Caenorhabditis elegans: one gene and its partners. The protein of the gene in region 1 purifies or fractionates together with the protein of each later gene. This does not show direct contact. Each region holds a gene or a part of one and is shown in the gene's direction. Other genes may lie near its edges. The genes, in order: Y65B4BL.1, C11D2.3 and R160.10.

Region 1 (3,760 bases):
TGGATTAAAAATTTCCGAGGAAAAACATGGCAAAAATCAGGTTGATCGTGAAACTCGTCGGGGGCTCCTCTCACTTCTTCCCCATCTTCATCTCTCCTTCTCTTTCCCGATCCGATCTTTTTTCCTTTCTTCCATTTTTTCTCGTTTTTCCTTTCCATTTTTTCTTCTCCTTCTTGTGTTTGATTATCCATCCTCCTTGCCCTTTCTCCTTGTTTCATTTTTCTTTATTCATTCGGATGGAATAGAGATATGGTTCCGTAAATTCATTCCAATACTAGAAGAATTAGTAAGACATTCGTAGGGGGGAAAATTCCGCGCAGAAAGCGACAGGAGGTTCGGGATTGGGTAATCGTCGGAAAAATGAAAAATCGCGCGCGCCCGCCCGCGCAGATGGGATATATACTAAATCACATGGGCAGCGACATGATATACGATGGATTGCGTGATCGATAGGCTTTTCAAGGAGGTACATTAGCACTGGTGGGCGTCGGGATCCTTGAAGGAACAACGATCTTTGAAGGAGATGACGAGGATGTTGTGAAATTTAATTGTGATATCATTCTATTATGTAATCCCTGGCCTAGAATATACATCATCTTTTAGAATTCTGGTCGGCTAGATGTTTTCGGGAAGTGCTTCTAAAGGATCGGCGCTGCCATGTATGTAGGAAGTGCTTATGCCAACCCCAATCATCTTCTCAATCTACTCCTCAGAAGTTCAGTTCTGCCAATCCGCACGCTCCACCTTCGTCGCCTATCCGTTTCTCATGCGAGTCTCGGGTCAAGGCAAGTGTGCGTGTCCTTCAGTCGTGAAGTCCTATTCATTTATTTTTGCTGCCAAAGTCCGAACAGTTTTTTCTAGCCGTGTCGGCAAAAGGGTTCTTATTGCGAATTCACCTCCTCCCCACTCGAGAAATCGCCCCCCCGCCGTCCTTGGTAAAACTGACCTAGAAAAATAAAAACAACACAAAGCGCCTCCCGCATCATCACGCGTATATATGTATATATATAAGATGGTAGGCGGGAAGAGGAATCGACGCAATATCGACTGAAGGTTGCGCAATCGAGATGGCTCTTCCCGGCACGGATACCTCCTCCTCGCGTACCAGGCACCCGCATATAGCTAAAGTTCTCCGCCCATTTCGTTACTTTTTTGTGCTTCCCATATCATCGCAGCAGCGCTTATGCCATTGCGCCCGACCCGATCCAACTTCTTATTCTTGTTCCTTAGCCTTCTCCCCCTCCCATGTCCTCCCGATATCCAAAAAGTGGGAGGAGCATGCCATAGTGAGAGGGCGGGGCCGGGACACACACAAGGCTGGCCCCGAGAAAACGAACAACACTTATGCCGAGGACAGTCTCGACAGTTGGTGGTCACCCCACCTGCGCCTTGATTACCCCGCCCGTCCGCGCCCGCCGGGCTAAAGTATTTTGTTTGCCATTCATGTTCCTCATTCGACGTTCATCATGCTTCTGTTATGCTTCTTGGTGTTGGTCCGGTTCCTTTCTCTCTCTCTCTCTTTCTTCCTTGTGGATCAGATGCCATTCCGCCTTTTTGCTAGATAAGCGCATATTCATCTCACTCTTCTTTGTTTTCAATTCAGCATTCTTTATATATCCAATATCCTACATCCTATATCCTCGTTCTCTCCTCATTTTCATTCATATGCCGATCCATTTGGTACTGGTGGTGTCGTTCTTCTTAGTTTCGCTTTCCAATTCTTTTCTAGACAATTCCTTCTATTTCCAGAAACTTTTTTCTACACAATGCTCCCAGACAGCCCATCCCCACGCGCTGCCCTTGCTCTCTCCGATCTTCAGCCACAAACCGGCGCCTCAACGTTCTCAATTGGCAGTGGATCAGGCAACTGGTAAGTCGAGTTCTTATGTAACTAGTAGGATGGTAGACATCGAGATTAACGATGTCTGGCATTCGTTACGTAACGAACGGGTTCTCCCGCCGACCATCGAAGCGCTTAAGCGCCGAGATTCTCGGCTTCATCGCACCCCGGTCTAGCAAGTTTTCCAATCCATCCCAAATTACAGGTCGACAAGAGGTGTTGGTGGAGTTAATGGTGATTACATGGACAAATCCGGCGGAGGAATGTTCGGAAACAGCAGAAACAACGTGAGTTATAAAAATATCTGGGGGGGGGGGGGGGGGGGGAAGTGTTGTTCTAGGCCAGGGACATTGAGAACCGCGTGATGAAGAGTACTTTTATCCGAATTAAATCATAGGCAACGAAAACAAGAATCAGGTTCTTGTGCTTTGCACACCATGTCGGAATATCCGTCTCAATCAAAACGAAAAAAGCCTAAGCTGGACCAAGTGTTAAATGCTTAAATGCCAAAAATGAACAATCTTTCAAATCACTTTCATCTTCCTGTAAATCAGAGAATCCTGAAGCGCTGGCGCGCACACTTACGAAAAGTGAAAGCCGATATATCAAGTTTATCACCTAGCGGGACTTCCATTGTCTCATTGTCTCTTGGCTATCCGCCCCACTTTCCCCCCGGATCATCCGCCCCCTTTAATCCAAGACTCTCGAACAGTTTCGCTTCATTCCAGGACCGATTCGCATTCGGCAACAACAGCTCGTCGTCCTCATCAGCAGGCTGCTTTTCATCGAACAATTCGTCAGGCGGACTTTTTTCCAGTAAATAAGTTAATATGTGAGTTTTTTTTGTGTACATTTTCTTCTTTTCAAGATCCATTAACATTTCAGAATGCGATCGGCAGCCGGTATTCTTATTCTAATCTCAATAATTATTCCCAGTGTATATAGTGAACCGAAGTTGCCCGATTGCGAGCAAATACCAAAAGTCTTGTGCTGTACCCAACGTGTCTTAGATAAATGTATGTCTGGTTGTATCGATTATGTCACTGAGAAATGCCCCCACAAATTGGAAAAATACGAGACGATCGATGAAGAGCCATCGACGAGAGCTCCAAAGAAGCAGGTGAAGCCAGCTAAGGCAACTAGCAACAGAGTTGTCGGAGCAGTTGAAGTAGACCATGAAGCCAAGGAGCAGTTCATCGACTCCAAGGATATCAGAAGAGCACCACGAGTCGGTGATGCCAAGCTTCTCAGCCAGGAGTACCCGATCACCGAGGTCACCGACGCCGATCTCTCCTCCGAGTGCGGAACCGAGAAGTCTCAGCCACCATTCTCACCATGCTTGTCCCGCAAGTCGGCCGACGACGTCTTCCTCTCCTGCTGTCGCCAACAGGTTCCATCCAACTGTCACAGCCTCTGCACCTACGAGCATCGTGAGCATGTCGCCGCTGAAACTCTGATCCAGGCGATCCAGCAAGAGCACTGCGATATGAAGGTAAGAATAGTTCAATCTTCCTATTGAGTTTTTTTTTTGAGTTTTTCCAAAATTCATTCTTTCAGTACTTCTCCAAACTGCTCTACTGTGCCAACCAAAACCGCGACAACCGCGCGTGCTGCTCCAACCTCGGCATGTCAAACGCGGAACTCGGCGTCGGCGATCGTTGCCTACGTATGTGCAACATCTCCCCGTCGGGAGACCGTGTAAGCTCTATGGAGAAGGAGGATCTCGTCTGCCTGTCCAACTGGAACGTCATCATGTACTGTGCCAGAGGTGGTCTTCGTACCATCAACTAGACCATCATCCCCGTTCTCTTCTCCCGTAATAAGCTGGCTCAGGTTGTTAATAATAATTCGCCGCTCGTCTTAATAATTTTCCATTTTCCAATCTCGTCCCCCCTTTTCAACACTACCACATTTCTCAGT
Region 2 (5,228 bases), on another chromosome or scaffold:
CTCTCGCTGCACCTGGCACGCCTCATAAAAAGAGAAACAAACGACCTTTCGCTGTTCAAATTTTGAAAAGTCATAAAAGTTCTCGCTTTTTGTCGGAGCTATGCCTATAATAATTTGGAAATGTAATGTAAGTTAAGGTATGTTGAGTAAGTTGGTGCACAATGTTTAAATAAATAAGTGGTTTTTAGTATTTTCGAAAAAATATCCCCATAAAAAAATGCTCCAAATGCCTTCTCTCTCACCTCTTTTTCAAGAAAATTAACTCAAAAATCATAAATCACATTCAAAAATATTTGAAAAACACACAACGAAATTAGAAAAAAAGAGAGGCGACTGTGGAGAAGGAGGACGGCAATAAGAGAAAAGATAAGAGGGCACAGCCACAAAAGAAAATGGAAACATCAACTGAGTATAGTGGGCAAAAGCGAATGGGCGGAGAAAATAAAATTCATGAATAATTATGGACAATTGAAAGAAAGCGTGTAAATGGTAATATGGGACTCTTGAAACCGACAAAAATTACAGGGATTTAAATTATAATTTAAAAAAAAATAATAATTAAAGGATAATTAAATTTGATTTACAAAGTTCAAAGAAAATAGTTCTATTTTCAGACTGTGCATATTCTATACACTATATGCAAATCAATGCTGTCAGTAACGTAGACATATGTCTTGGGTTACTGTATCACAAAGATCAAATCACTTAAATTTGCGGCAATCATTTTTCAACAAGAATCCCAAAAAAAGAACTCGGCAAATCGGTCCAATTTGTTAGCGTACTCTTGCAACTACTGTTGAGCACTTTAAATTTTCAACAAATTTCTAAAGATTTTCAGACCATTTTTTAAATTTCTATTGAATTAATTTTCTAAATTGCAAAAATTTGCTATGAACTTGCGACGTTTTGTCAAGAAGATGCCTCTGACGTCAAATTTTTCCAGATCTCAATTCAAAATTCAACTCTATATTTAACTCTCAACTGAGTTTGGAATATGTTTTATGATGTATGAAAAACATTAATTTTTTTTGCAAAGTATATAGGAGTTTCAAGCATTTAAATTGGTCAATTGGACAGAAAACAAATTCAAAATACATTTTTTATCAAGAAGTTGAATATGTGGGTAGATCACTCGTAAAATTATAGCCTTGCGGAAAATGTGAAACGAAACAAAACTTTAAAATTTAAAGTAAGAAAATGGCAAAATCGGAAAAAAAATGAGGGAGCTGAACGATTTGAGTAATCACACGTTTCTTTTCAGGGGTTTATAAAATATCGAAAATCGTTTCATATTCACGGTATAGGTGCGGTGAAATCGAATTGTTTCCAATTGTACGACCTGTCTTACAATGATTAGAAAAAAAATAAGTTTTTATTTGTATGGTCCATATAACTTTCCTTTCAAAGGTTTTCAATGTTCAAAGTAGACATAGACCCAAAAAAAGATTATTTCTCTTTAACATAAAACCTGTCTGAATAAAAATCTTGGATGCCGTTAATTTTCAAGGACTAGATAATAGCCTGTAAGCCTATAGGTAAACCATTTTTCTGTAAAACTGTTTAATTCCAACATTCGTGTCTGCGCATCAATGTAGAACACTTATTTGACTTGCAAATAGACAAAACAAAGATAAATGTGACAGTCGCGTATTTCTTTTGATAGGGACAAAAGCTGTGTGAATAATATCACGAGAGAAAACTCATGACAGTGAATAAAAGTGCATGGTTAATGTCCAGAAAGCAAATATTGAATGGTAATTTGACATTCAATTGTTGAATGTAAAAAGACTTATTCATATCTCAGTTTTTATGCGACTATTGTAGTGATTCAAGTACTTCATATTTATAGTAATAATAACTCCAAATGATACCAAATTTAATCTATTCGAATATTTTCAGTTTTATTGTTGTTCACTAGACATCCCCTTTGATGAGAACGGGACGTTTTCCTGGCCCTAATATTCGTCTTCCTAATGCCTACACCGGCAACTTTTTGTAAATTGTTGTTTTTGTAAATTGTTGTTCGGTGTTTTGCAGAGGAAGAAGCTGGGAGGAGACTGTGTCTCTCATTTTGGTGGGTATCTGAAGCTGTCTAAATACGTGAATTTTAAAGTGGCGTGCAGAGGCGTGACGTCATATATGAACGTGCAATTTCAAAAAATCCGTATTCATAATCACTTTTGGCCCTGACTTTTTAATTTTTTTTTCCACTCAAGCCTTTATTTTCTGCCAATTATGCTTCCAGTTCACTGGACAATTTTGCAACTCAACCAGAGCCATGCCATGACACTAAATAAAATTTGAAACTGGTTCAGTAACCTTTCACTGCTGCTCAAAATGTTGCTCAAAATTTGAGTTTATTTTTGCTTTTCAAAAGTTTCAATGTTCCCATCGATTGCAGGTAAGAAAGTTATATTTCTTACGTTTTCTCTTTAGACCTGTGATAAAATTAAATTTTGTTGAAGGTTCTAACAAACCTGGTGCTTCTTCATCAACACTGAGATGGCAGAAATCAACGAGGAGGATCTCATATGTGAAGTTACCTTCTATTCAGTCAAAAGGGAAACAAGGTCAAGTAAGTTATCTGAATAATAGTAACATTTCAACGTAACAGTACATTTTTTGACTGAAAACTTAATGTTTAATATTTAAAAAATTTATTTCGCTGTGAGACCCGCTTGAATGTTTTGTTTATTGTGAAGAATAACCACAACATGAGTAATTAAAAATATCTATGGAAAACTAGAAACTTTTCATATTACAGAAAGTAACCTCTGTCCCTTCTGAAGATGAACCCATACCATCTGATCCTGGACCATCACTTCCTCCGATTCCAACAATTACACCGTCATTGTGCATTGATAATCAATATTTTTCAAACTATATCAGTGAAAAACCAAAAATGGACGATGTTGACTATTTGAGCAGAGCGTTCAGTTCGTAAGTTTACTATTAAACAACATTTTTTTCGATTTGTATTCTATAGGATCTTCCAAAAAATGGTGGTTGAATGTTTTATCCTGATTATATGAAAAGATATTAAAGTTCTGAAACAGTAAATTTTTTTTTTCATCACGAAGTCCGCGACTATTCTTGGAATTTATCTTTGGAATTTTTAAGGCGGCTAAATTAAAAAAAATATTTTTTTCGGCTTCGAATTCTACACATATTCGTGTTGTGAGATTGAATTGATGAGAATTTTAAGTATAAAAATTCACAAATGTTTCATAAGCTTTTTCACTGTTTCACCGGTTGAGATAAACAAAAGCTTTAAAAAATTTGCAATTAGTCTCTTGTCCCGCAAAAAAGTTATTTAATAGCTTTTGTGAAATCTTCCAAAATTTATAAATTACAAAAATTACTGAACATAATCACTTCCCTGATATTATCGAAAAAATACGATCGCACAAATTTCTCATAATATATTTTTGATCTACCTGTTGATCTTGTTGCCGTTGTTATTTTGTTGTGGCTGTCTTGTCAAAGGAAGAGGAGGAGCCTAGTCAACAAGGTAAATCAAAAATAAATTATGAGAAAATTGTGCGATCGTATTCTTTCGATAATATCTCATAGCGATCATACTGTTGCCGGAGTATGATGAACTGTAGATTACTGTAGTATCGCGACGAGATATCCGGTACCTGGTTTGAGAAAGTTCTTTTCAGAAATTTCAATTTAGATTTGCGAAAATCCAGGGAAATCTACATGCTCAGAGAACAAACTATTTCGAGAAGCGGGGACTTCTTGATGCTATTGAATTGTGAGTTATTATGGGGACGCAGAAGAGATTTCAAAGGAGCAGAATGTTCCCTTTGAAATCGATGTGGAAACGCGCTCCACAGCCAATTAAAACCGCCCCGCCTCCCACAGTTGGGTCTCGTATTAGGTGCCAAGACTGTAAATTTAAACTTTTCAGTTAGTTTTGCCGATTTTGTCAGCTATCAAACATTTTTGTTATTTTTTCTGTTGTTTGTTAAATGATTTTCGTGCCGAATTAATTGTTATAAATGCATGTTTAGGCCAGCAGGAAACACATCAAAATAGACGGAGAATGATTAGAAAATGGTAATAATTATATTTAGAAATCGCTCGAATTTTCAGTTTTCCCGCCAAATACCTAGCGAGATAATATTTGCTCATGTGTACTTTAATGCAAAAATAATTTTTCCAGGAACATTGAGCAGCAGAATAATAAAATCAGTGAGGCTCTTGGATGCTTGGCTGTTTGCAATGAAGTAACCGAGAAGTATCAATGTGCTCTGGACAATTCTTTTCAGGTTTTAGTCGATGATTTCTCGGAGAAAGCCTTTAAGTTGAGCAGCTTGACAACTCAACTTCACGCATTACGACAGACTCATCACGCGAATCAGTAAGTGAAGTTTGTTTTGTTTCGCTCTGATGTTGAGAAATTGCAGGCAAGTTCGCAAAAATGAGGAATCTCAACTGGAAGAAATAGCGTGGCGTATTGAAAGGGAAGAAAAGAGAATCAAGAAACTCGACGGAAAACTTTGGAAATTTTATGAGAATCGAGATGGAAAAGGAAAAGATACAACAAAAGAAAGTGCATGAAAATATAAATTAAATCCCAAAATGGACATATAAAATAAAGATCATCTCAAATTATTGGAAGTCTGATAAAGAGCACGACGACCGGGAATTCGAGCACATCAGTTCAACGATTTTTCAGCCAAGTGCCACAGCCCATCGTTCAAATAATGAAGATTTTCAATTCCGTTTCCTTTATTCACAGATTGAATTTCCTCACTGCTCATTGACATCAAACCAATTGCCAACGCATGTTGCTTTCCTTCAGCCATCACAGCAACCACTGAATCCTTTGGTACGAGAGGAGTGAGTTTAGCTCCTGGCGATGTTAATCCAGGACACATTATTGAAGATCCGTTCAGGATGAATTTGATGGCACCTTTGTCGACCTGAAATTTGAATTTTCATCAATAAATGGAAATGTTGAACCAGGTAAATAATCAATTTATAACCAACCTGTTGATGTGGAAGAATGAATGGATACTTGTGAAGTGTTCTCAAAGTTGGAATGTAATCAGTGTTACGTGTTTTAACAAATCGCACGACACCCAGATGATCGGCGAGCAATTCAATGTGATCCTTGCATTTGATCACTTTGAAATTCTCCTTTTTCGGGAGGATCTCCTCAAGATGTGGCTCCAAGTAGGGGAAGTTCTCGATCAGCTTCTTGCGAATTCCTTTCT
Region 3 (3,124 bases), on another chromosome or scaffold:
ACAAAATTATTAAAAGTAAGTATTATTTTTTTTTTGGGTACGGTAGGGATGTACGGCAAATACTTTTGCAAACGTACAAAACTTTTAATTTCCTAATTATAACTTTTTGTATAACAAAGTTTATATTGCAATGTAGGGAAGTAAGTTTGAAAAAATTTTAAAGAGTATGCCGAGATACATTTTGATTTGCAATCAAAAGGATCCATAAATTAATCTCTTAAAATTTTAAAGAATGGATCGTAAATGACAAAAGTACAGTAAAGTTGGGTTCATTATTTTTAAAACTTAAAATGCCAGTACTAAAAAAAACTTTCAAAACTTTTGTTAATGATTTAAGAATTAGTTTGCAATTTTATTTTAAATTTCTTCGTATTTTTAAGTCGTTTCTCTAAACTTTTATAAAATTTATTAAGGATTTTTTCCTTATTTTTGAACATGTTCATTGTCAGTGAGAAAATAAGTAGAAAGGCAGGAAATTTCGGGGAAACATATATTTTTTTCAAAACTGAGAGCATATATTTTTCAGGTCTGAATGCAATACTATTGTAGACATTTGTCATTGTTAGCACTGCACAGATTAATTATTGATCTCCTTTTTTTGTTAATGAATGTTGATGTTACATATGTCAATTTCTGAACAATTTTTCATATCGATTTTGGTTGAAACCAATAAGTATACCTGTATATTTAATTAATTATCCTTCTTAACTTTTTGTTAGTTTCAATTACTATTTCGCAAACCTGCATGACTTGTTTCAACATGGACATCATCAAATGCATCTATCTCATCTTGCTCCTAATTTGGTCAATATTTTTGTAAGTGACGATGATCTGAAATTATTTTTAAATAGTTATGGAAATTATAGCATCATCCTATTCATAACTCTCATCAGAGAATGGTTCTTCCCACAGCCCCGTTTTTTCGAAAGATTTGAGGATGAAGAGGAGCCAAGTCGTCCACAAGGATTTGTATCTCTTGACGTGGAGCAACTGGAGCAAATGCATGGGCTGGAAGTATATGCTGCCAACAAAGTGATCATAGACACTGTTCCACTTCTTCCTATTTAAAGTAAGAAAAATGTTCGTAAATTTTTTCAAAATTTTATTACAGACGATCAACATGCACCATATGTATTCATAATTTGTAACAACGATAAAATTGAAATACAGTAGTATAGACTATTTCTTTTTAGTAGCTCTCGAATAACTTTTTTGTGGATAAATTTTAGCGTGCCCTTCCGTTTTGGTTAATATTTTGGTATTGTTAGGTTGCCAAACCATAACTATTATTTTGGTTTGATCAGAGGTGTGCGGTAATTGGTAAGTTGAGCAATTGCTGGTTTTTGAATTTGCTGCAGTGAGCAATTTTGGAACTGGCTGAAATTGCCCAAATTTCGGATTACTGGAATTCTTAAACTTTTCTTAAACCATATTTATGATTGTAAAATTTAACCTTGACGTAATTCATGTGTTAATTATTTCGTCAGACATTTTTTTTCTGTGTGAGGAGTAAAAATTCTGGTCTAAAATGCATACATGTACACGCTTTTATAAAACATTTCAATTCTCATTATCGGCGATTGAAAAATATATCGCACACATCTCATTTCAAGATTCAGATACCTCATTTTTATACAACTCAAACTTTACCATGGACGTCCAGAATTTAGTGACCATTGGATTTTTGATAGTTATCGGTTTGACTTCGGCGGTGGTCATGTAATTTCTTATTCCACTTTCAAAAAATAATTCAATTTTATCCAAAATTTTAGAATTTGGTACTTCATTGCCGAGGTGTTTCAAAACATGCATAAACACATTGCTCGAACCACAGTCATCCGAGTTGAAGCTACCATTTAGAGGTTGCTGTCATCTATTTTTTTCAAATTTTTTAATGGGAATTAATTTCAGAAATTGTACTGCTAATCATAGATGTTTCCTGATACACCCTACCGATTGCCCATTACTTTTTTACACCAATAAACGTATTTAAATTATTACCGATTTATCTTCTATTACTATATCCCACAAGGTTGTTAATCCTTGTCTCATATTTATAAGTTTCATTTTTTGTTCAACATTCCGAATTATTTGTCAGATGGAAACAGCTCAAACAATCAAATATCATGTTCCGCCGATGCTCATTTTTTTGGTTGTTGTCCTCTCGTGTCTCAGGTGAGAACAAAGTTTTCAGGAGTCTTTTAAAAAACAAAATGAACATTTTTGAATTTCCAGCATTGGTTTTTTGGTAGACTACATCATGCAAAAGTACGGTTGCTGTGGACGGAGAGGAAGTTGCTGCCGGCCAGAGCTGGAAGGAGATGAGGACGCTGAGAACGCTCAAGGGTCTATACCCCTAGCATCACTTGGAACAACTAACGACCCATTACCAGGAAGACTACCATTGCTGTCACGAGCTCCTATCAACAATTCACGCGTTTAAGTGTCTTATTGTATTATTTTCCCAATTGCTATAACCCGCATAATCATACCACACATTTCAATAAATTGTCATAATTATCATTGAAACCTAGAGAGAACATAAGTTTGTGTTTAATTTTTATATGTATAAAGTTATTACTGAATAAATTGGCAATTTCAAAATGATTCCATTTAGCCCCAATTTGCAATATATACGAAAATTAGATCAATAGGTTTTTGTCATGTGTCCCTTTTTTTCGTACTGTTGTGTAGTATCCAGTTATAGAATTATTTCCAGACATTACAAAAACATTCTCTATATATCAACAAACTCGAATTATTTTGTTTTAAAAGCGTCGCTGCTCAGAGAATTCAATGGCTCCGTATCACACTGAGCAGCGACTCATGCAAATTCAAATTGTAATTGTTTACTGAGTTTGAATCTATGCACTCATAGATTATTGGCTCGGCCAGTACATACTTGCAAGTCTCTCAATCAATTAAGAATAGAGGTTTATGTTTTTGATGTGTTTTTTACACAGTATTTGCTCTTCGCCTCCAATCCCCCTTGCCCTCTTCACCACTTTTTCATGTTCCCTTTCCAACATTTTTTTGTGCGCATATAGCATCTGCCAATTTTCTTCCATCTACTCAATCTGTGCATTGCCCCGTGATGAGCAGCGAGTGACGAATATCTGGGCAA

Evidence for each region.
Region 2: the proteins of Y65B4BL.1 (region 1) and C11D2.3 fractionate together in Caenorhabditis elegans (co-fractionation; one large-scale study listed by BioGRID). This does not show direct contact.
Region 3: the proteins of Y65B4BL.1 (region 1) and R160.10 fractionate together in Caenorhabditis elegans (co-fractionation; one large-scale study listed by BioGRID). This does not show direct contact.

What each region holds. Positions count from the first base shown.
Region 1 is NC_003279.8:529,222-532,981, forward strand, and holds Y65B4BL.1 (uncharacterized protein), read left to right. Parts: upstream 1-1,747; 5' UTR 1,748-1,766; coding exon 1,767-1,870; intron 1,871-2,045; coding exon 2,046-2,127; intron 2,128-2,503; exon of another isoform or gene 2,504-2,568; coding exon 2,569-2,664; 3' UTR 2,665-2,672; intron 2,673-2,725; 3' UTR 2,726-2,726; downstream 2,727-3,760. Other genes in the region: dbd-1 (DB domain-containing protein), read left to right, coding at 2,727-3,332, 3,398-3,631.
Region 2 is NC_003282.8:6,150,055-6,155,282, forward strand, and holds C11D2.3 (BLOC-1-related complex subunit 5), read left to right. Parts: upstream 1-1,758; 5' UTR 1,759-1,848; intron 1,849-1,899; 5' UTR 1,900-2,382; coding exon 2,383-2,401; intron 2,402-2,465; coding exon 2,466-2,575; intron 2,576-2,764; coding exon 2,765-2,940; intron 2,941-2,989; exon of another isoform or gene 2,990-3,010; intron 3,011-3,285; exon of another isoform or gene 3,286-3,310; intron 3,311-3,679; coding exon 3,680-3,760; intron 3,761-4,171; coding exon 4,172-4,369; intron 4,370-4,415; coding exon 4,416-4,569; 3' UTR 4,570-4,623; downstream 4,624-5,228. Other genes in the region: C11D2.7 (PUA domain-containing protein), read right to left, coding at 4,668-4,934, 5,002-5,226.
Region 3 is NC_003284.9:4,366,487-4,369,610, reverse strand, and holds R160.10 (uncharacterized protein), read left to right. Parts: upstream 1-2,096; 5' UTR 2,097-2,098; coding exon 2,099-2,175; intron 2,176-2,235; coding exon 2,236-2,443; 3' UTR 2,444-2,585; downstream 2,586-3,124. Other genes in the region: R160.4 (DUF4845 domain-containing protein), read left to right, coding at 761-816, 867-1,068.